2 linked regions of the Xenopus tropicalis genome follow. The protein of the gene in region 2 purifies or fractionates together with the protein of the main gene of each other region. This does not show direct contact. Links are inferred from orthologs where the notes say so. Each region holds a gene or a part of one and is shown on either strand. Other genes may lie near its edges. The genes, in order: kif22 and kpna3.

Region 1 (3,920 bases), on a different chromosome or scaffold from region 2:
AGAGCCCATGTAGATCTCCCGCTGAGTGGCGCTGTCACCATAAAAGGCATCAAACCTGCGCATAAGGGTAGAGATAATAAGCAGTGTGCTGATCATGCCCAGCACCCCCCCCCCCCAGCATGCTGATCATGCCCAGCACCCCCCCCCCCAGCATGCTGATCATGCCCAGCACCCCCCCCCCCCCAGCATGCTGATCATGCCCAGCACCCCCCCCCCCAGCATGCTGATCATGCCCAGCACCCCCCCCCCCCCAGCATGCTGATCATGCCCAGCACCCCCCCCCCCCAGCATGCTGATCATGCCCAGCACCCCCCCCCAGCATGCTGATCATGCCCAGCACCCCCCCCAGCATGCTGATCATGCCCAGCACCCCCCCCCCCAGCATGCTGATCATGCCCAGCACCCCCCCCCAGCATGCTGATCATGCCCAGCACCCCCCCCCCAGCATGCTGATCATGCCAGCACCCCCCCCCCAGCATGCTGATCATGCCCAGCACCCCCCCCCCAGCATGCTGATCATGCCCAGCACCCCCCCCCCAGCATGCTGATCATGCCCAGCACCCCCCCCCCAGCATGCTGATCATGCCCAGCACCCCCCCCCCAGCATGCTGATCATGCCAGCACCCCCCCCCAGCATGCTGATCATGCCCAGCACCCCCCCCCCAGCATGCTGATCATGCCCAGCACCCCCCCCCAGCATGCTGATCATGCCCAGCACCCCCCCCCCCAGCATGCTGATCATGCCCAGCACCCCCCCCCCAGCATGCTGATCATGCCCAGCACCCCCCCCCCCAGCATGCTGATCATGCCCAGCACCCCCCCCCCAGCATGCTGATCATGCCAGCACCCCCCCCAGCATGCTGATCATGCCCAGCACCCCCCCAGCATGCTGATCATGCCCAGCACCCCCCCCAGCATGATGATCATGCCCAGCACCCCCCCAGCATGATGATCATGCCAGCACCCCCCCCCAGCATGATGATCATGCCCAGCACCCCCCCCAGCATGATGATCATGCCCAGCACCCCCCCCAGCAGCACAATTAGGCAGAGGTGCCCTGAAACACCAATGTTACACGGACCCACTAGCACGGCGATGCCCTCACTTACTGGTACTGCATGGTCTCTAGCTGATTCCTCCAGTTGACAATCTCCAGCGACTGCGAGTCCAGGCCCCGGACACACGCGGCGGGCGCTTTCTCATCCTCTTTCTCCATGTAGGGCCTCAGTCTGACGGCAACACGCACCCGGGCCGAGGACGGCTTCTTGTGCTGATCCAGAATGCTCACCCGCTTGGCCATACTGACCGACTCCCTACAAACACAGAGTTGTCAAGCTTCCATGGGAGATCATAGGGAGAAAATATGGCTCAGACTATAAAGCCTAAACCAGGCATCCTCAAACTACAGCCGCGGTCAGGTACGTCCCCCCCAAGGTAATTTACCCGGCCCCCACTATTGTCTGACACAAGGACGCAGGGGGGAGCAGGGGGGCCACAGTATGGGGAGCAGGGGGGCCACAGTATGGGGAGCAGGGGGCCACAGTATGGGGAGCAGGGGGGCCACAGTATGGGGAGCAGGGGGGCCACAGTATGGGGAGCAGGGGGGCCACAGTATGGGGAGCAGGGGGGCCACAGTATGGGGAGCAGGGGGGCCACAGTATGGGGAGCAGGGGGGCCACAGTATGGGGAGCAGGGGGGCCACAGTATGGGGAGCAGGGGGGCCACAGTATGGGGAGCAGGGGGGCCACAGTATGGGGAGCAGGGGGGCCACAGTATGGGGAGCAGGGGGGCCACAGTATGGGGAGCAGGGGGGCCACAGTATGGGGAGCAGGGGGGCCATAGTATGGGGAGCAGGGGGGCCATAGTATGGGGAGCAGGGGGGCCATAGTATGGGGAGCAGGGGGGCCATAGTATGGGGAGCAGGGGGGCCATAGTATGGGGAGCAGGGGGGCCATAGTATGGGGACACCCCCCCCCCCAACAGCCTGCTGAAAGGGTTTGAGGAGCCCTGGCCTAAAGCTACACTCCCTATGGCTCCGAGCTGTACAATGTGCAGGCATTGGTAGGGACTGAAGCCAATGGAATGGTAGAGATCTGGTGCTGGGGGACATATTGGTGCGTTACACACTAGGGAACCGGAAATGAGCTTTCATGGAACTCCCGTGGCTGCTGGGAGGGATAAGCCGTGTAACAGATATGTATAGCGGGGAAGGCTCTCACCTTTGGGGAGGCCCGGTAAGAACCATTCCCCACTCGCTAGGCACTGTCGGGCCTTAAGAACCACGCTCTGGAGTTGACCACACGATACAATAATCCCTCCCGACTGGGACGTTACAGCTCCGATTTCCGCTTCTGGCTGTCGGGGCCTCACAAACCCGACCGGTTACTGTACCTCCTTTTCGTATTTGGCGGCGAAGCGTGCGTCCAGCCAATAGAAAGGCGAGGAGCGTTCACGTGGCCCAGGTTTGCGCGTAAACGAGGCCTGGCACGCACACAAGCGCCTGACTGGCTCATTCAAATTCGGAGTTTACACCACGTGATGCGAATCGGACTCCGCCTCCCACCATGGAATGAACTTAGTGCTCTCTACGGCTAAGAGACATAATACTAATAGCCAATCAAATGCTTGCATGTGGGAGTCGGGGTCAAAGTTCGTCATAGGGTAGGCCCTCGGGCCGCAAGTTCTTTATTTGTTCTTCGTCATAAGACGGATATGTGTTTCCATGGCAACCAAGGCCAAACTGCCTATTGTCTTTCTACACAATAGTTGTTCTGACACCGGGTCTTGGCTTAACTCCAACCTAATGATTGAGGGAAATCGTTACAATTATCCCTCACTGCGTTACACTCGAGACTGGCTCGGTTCCCAAAACAAAGATGGCCGCGGTCGGACATCCATTCCCACCATTTTGCGCCAAAACAGGAAGTTAAGTTGGTCTCCCAATCTAGTAACCCTTCCTGGCCCTGACGCGAATTTCGGGATCACTGACAGTGGGTGCGGGATATTTTGCGGTACGGACCCAGGAACCAAGTGTGCGGGGCGAGAGTGGCGTCAGTGGTCCCGTCATGCTCCGGGCGAGCGCGGCCACTTCCTGTGCGCACAGCGGGCTGGGTATGAGCAGCTCTGGGCGCTAAACCTACGGCTGATCCCTGCGAGTGGAACCTTCCTGAGTGAAAGTGAGTTTGGCCCCATTCCCATAGGGCAGTGACCCCCAACCAGTGGCTCCCGGGCAGCGTGTTGCTCTCAGTGCCCCCAAACCAGGGAGTTATATGAATTCCTCACTTGGGGGCAAGTTTTGGCTGAATAAAAACAAGATTTCCTACCAAATAAAGCCCCTGTAAGCTGATAGGGTGCAAAGAGGCCCCTAATAGCCAATCACAGCCCTTATTTGGCTCCTCCATGAACTTTTATGGTGCTTGTGTTGCTCCCCAAGTCTTTACATTTGACTGTGGCTCCCGTATTGCCTGTTATAATGGGCTCCCGTATTGCCTGGTATTATAATGGGCTCCCGTATTGCCTGGTATTATAATGGGCTCCCGTATTGCCTGTTATAATGGGCTCCCGTATTGCCTGTTATAATGGGCTCCCGTATTGCCTGTTATAATGGGCTCCCGTATTGCCTGGTATTATAATGGGCTCCCGTATTGCCTGTTATAATGGGCTCCCGTATTGCCTGGTATTATAATGGGCTCCCGTATTGCCTGGTATTATAATGGGCTCCCGTATTGCCTGGTATTATAATGGGCTCCCGTATTGCCTGGTATTATAATGGGCTCCCGTATTGCCTGGTATTATAATGGGCTCCCGTATTGCCTGGTATTATAATGGGCTCCCGTATTGCCTGTTATAATGGGCTCCCGTATTGCCTGTTATAATGGGCTCCCGTATTGCCTGGTATTATAATGGGCTCCCGTATTGCC
Region 2 (3,820 bases):
CCACAATCTCCTCTACCTGTTTGCTCCTGCCATTCTCTCCTCTATTTATCCTTGCTGCTTCTGTGTGCCATGCTGCCTCCCATTTGTACACTCAGAGCTCCAGTGTGCCATACTGCTTCCCATCTGTACCCTCAGAGCTCCAGTGTGCCATACTGCTTCCCATCTGTACCCTCAGAGCTCCAGTGTGCCATACTGCTTCCCATCTGTACCCTCAGTACTCTTGTGTGCCATACTGCTTCCCATCTGTACCCTCAGTACTCCAGTGTGCCATACTGCTTCCCATCTGTATCCTCAGAGCTCCAGTGTGCCATACTGCTTCCCATCTGTACCCTCAGAGCTCCAGTGTGCCATACTGCTTCCTATCTGTACCCTCAGAGCTCCAGTGTGCCATACTGCTTCCCATCTGTACCCTCAGTACTCCAGTGTGCCATACTGCTTCCCATCTGTATCCTCAGAGCTCCAGTGTGCCATACTGCTTCCCATCTGTACCCTCAGAGAACCAGTGTGCCATACTGGTTCCCTATCTGTACCCTCAGAGCTCCAGTGTGCCATACTGCTTCCCATCTGTACCCTCAGAGCTCCAGTGTGCCATACTGCTTCCCATCTGTACCCTCAGAGCTCCAGTGTGCCATACTGCTTCCCATCTGTACCCTCAGAGCTCCAGTGTGCCATACTGCTTCCCATCAGCTACACCTCAGATTTTCAAAAACTGGCAGAAAACATGCAGTGCCAGATTTCACACTGATATTTTGATATTATATAACATTTTAATATAGTGTATATTATTATTATTATTATTAAAAATTGTGTTTGTGCTACTGTTCACGTATTGTGTTGCTCACGAACAAGTTTTGCAGCTGAATGTTGCTCACGGGGTAAAAAAGGTTGGGGATCCCGGTTTTATGCCATTCACCCCCCTCCCCCTGCCCCCCACCCCACAAGGACTTAACAATAGAGTGAAAAAAATTATTACATTTTTTTCACTTTATTGTTAAGTCCTTGTGTGTGTGGCTCTCTGTCCTTATTTTGGCCAGCATCCAAGGCATTTAAACCTCTATAGGGTGTGCTGGTTACACTTTAATATGCAAAATACAGGTTCAGTTCCAGTTCAGTTTTTGGCCACAATCCTGTGTAGATAAGTACTCAGAAAGATGTATAAATGCAGGGGAAAATGAGTGTTCAAATTTTGTGCCTACAAAAATGCGTACCTATAATGTTTCCAAGTGCCCAAACTGCTTGTTCACAAACATTTTGATGCAGGGAATGGAGAAGTCTCAGGAACAGAGGCACAGCATCTGGGGAGGTAAAAAGAAGTTAGATTTTTGCAAGAAAATGGATATGCACGTAAATAAAAAAACCAACAAAAGCTTAGAACTAAATAAAATAAATATAAATAAAAGGATGGCTGCCTGTATGCATACATCTTTCTGCAACAGCTCTCAGATGTAAATAATTTTTTATGAAAAACAAAACACTGAGGGGGGAAAAAGCATAGCTGTGAGGTTTGTCAGCACATTGTTTAGTTGTTTGCAGACACAGATGTCCACAGCCAAGATTCACAGAAAATTACAGGTTATGTAGCTGCAAAGGGACATTTGTCTGGTGCCACTGTATCTGTATCTTATGTATGAAGTGTTTTCTACAGAAAGCCATTTATCATACTTACTGGACTGAACCACTGCCTGGGTTTGTGCCGAGGTTCCTGATGCTATGTTAGTTAATGCCCATGCTGCTTCAAACTGTAAAGAAGGGCTAAAAAAAAAAAAAAAAAAGAAAAAAATTTTTTTGAAATGATACATTAACAGAAAAAAAATCAGCAAGTACACAATGCATGTAAGTGCAGTGGTACACGGGGCGACTAATCTCCCCACAATGCCATCCCACTGGCTAGAATGTAAATCGCCGGTGGGATGACATACCTATCACTGCAATGTCCCGCAGTCGCCCGAAGTTTCCTCTCAAGACAACTTTGGGCGACTGCGGGACATCCCAGCGACACGTATGCCATCCCACCGGCGATTTACATTCTGGCCGATGGGATGGCATTGCGGGGAGATTAGTTGCAGATTCATAACAGGGCGACTAATCTCCCCGTGTACCTCTGCCCTAAATGAAACAATCTTATTGTACATTTCCTGAGATTTTTTTTTTGTCTGAGAAATCACATGGTCGGCTTCCCTGCTGACATTTTTGTCACTATAAATGTTTCTTATTCTATTTACGGCTCTTGCTTTGCCTACTGACACCGTTATACTTTTAATTTTATGGAACGTTAAAAAGCTTCCCTGTCTCATACAAATGCTGCAGGAGGTACAATTAAATAGTATTTGATTGCAACCAATCTAGGACATGGCTACATTTCAGGCTACTCGCTGGGATCAGCGCTAAAAAACAAATCTGTATGCAGTATGCAGCCAGCCTGACAGTTGTGAGGCACTGGCAGAAGTCACTGGGCGCATATGTTAAGAGGCATCACAATAAATGATAGCAGAGAGTATACAGTTTATCCAATATAACAACTAAGGTATTTCCATAAAGGGCAGCTATGACCAAAAGCTGGCCATACATGGATAGAGTCATTAATACAACAGTCAGGACGGCGCTTATCAAAGAACTATTTTAGTGCTTAAAATATTGTTGCAAAATGTTACACCATGGAGAATGAAAGTTTAAGAAAATGGAACAGTGAAGATAGGGTGTTTTATACACATGATTTCTAGCAGCCATTGACCACAAGGAAAATGAAAAGTGCCAGTGCTGGTGCTTATTAGGCAATTCTTAAATGGTATCTGCCACACTATAAAACAGATTTACCCAGAAAGTCAACCGTACAGAAGCATGTGCATGTAATATCTAACTTAAAAATACGGATGTGACAAAAGCACTTCTGATAATATACATTTACAAAATGAAGATTGTTCTTACTTATCGTCTGCCTCTAAGCATTTCACTAGGATCGGCAGAATTCCCGATTTGATTAGATCATCAATAGGCGGATTTCTGTCACTGGACAGTAATTTTCTGCAATGAAAACACAAAAAAACATTAGTCCTATAAGACCCTGCCTAGCCTTAGAATTAGTAGCTTAGTAATGATGTAGCTTTGACACAAGCATGACTTCTGCACAAGCACTGACCTCTCACACATTTTATGGTTGGACTCTATCTAGGTAAAATTACCTATTTTAAAACACTGTAATTGGCAATCTTTCATTTCAGAATATATAGGACCAACAACAAGATCAAGATATGCGTCTTCTCATAGAAATATTAGATCTTAGGCTCTTTACCTTGCTGCTTGCACTGCACTTAGTTGGATTGCTGGATTATCACTGGTGGCATTCTGCAAATGAAGAGGATAATTATAAGAACACTTGCAGTTAAGAGAGATGAAAGCAATTAAGTAATGCTGATCAAAACTATACATACCTGCAATATTGCTTCGAGTGTTACATTTTGCTATTTAAGAGAAGAGAAAACATCAGTTGCTAAGTTTACAGTAAATGCTACCAGTATTTGGAAAATGCATATAACAACCAGATATACAAGCACAGATCAAAAACAGACTTTGGGTTTCAGAACATACCGATTTAAAATCTCCATCGACATCTGAATCTTCTAAACTCTCTTCTTGTGGGACATTTCTTTTTTTCAACAGGTGCTCGTCTCGTTTGTTCTAAAATGAAAACAAATGTGGATGACTAAATAATCTATTAAAGAACTAGGATTTGTTGAACCCCATATTTCCGAACAGTTTAAGAGTTATTATGTATGGGCTTTTGGGAGACCGGTTTGAATGCACTTAAATGCATCAGCTAATT

What was found.
Region 1: the proteins of kpna3 (region 2) and kif22 purify together in Homo sapiens (affinity purification with mass spectrometry; 3 studies listed by BioGRID and IntAct, counting the BioPlex papers as one, with this or other methods). This does not show direct contact. The link is inferred for Xenopus tropicalis from reciprocal best matches to the Homo sapiens genes KPNA3 and KIF22.

The regions. Positions count from the first base shown.
Region 1 is NC_030685.2:2,576,581-2,580,500, reverse strand, and holds the start of kif22 (kinesin-like protein KIF22), read right to left. Parts: upstream 2,543-3,920; 5' UTR 2,246-2,542; coding exon 2,220-2,245; intron 1,314-2,219; coding exon 1,110-1,313; intron 56-1,109; coding exon 1-55. UniProt on the Homo sapiens protein: Kinesin family member that is involved in spindle formation and the movements of chromosomes during mitosis and meiosis. Binds to microtubules and to DNA. Plays a role in congression of laterally attached chromosomes in NDC80-depleted cells.
Region 2 is NC_030678.2:149,379,375-149,383,194, forward strand, and holds part of kpna3 (importin subunit alpha-4), read right to left. Parts: intron 3,676-3,820; coding exon 3,586-3,675; intron 3,459-3,585; coding exon 3,429-3,458; intron 3,343-3,428; coding exon 3,290-3,342; intron 3,022-3,289; coding exon 2,926-3,021; intron 1,753-2,925; coding exon 1,667-1,752; intron 1,296-1,666; coding exon 1,209-1,295; intron 1-1,208. UniProt on the Homo sapiens protein: Functions in nuclear protein import as an adapter protein for nuclear receptor KPNB1. Binds specifically and directly to substrates containing either a simple or bipartite NLS motif.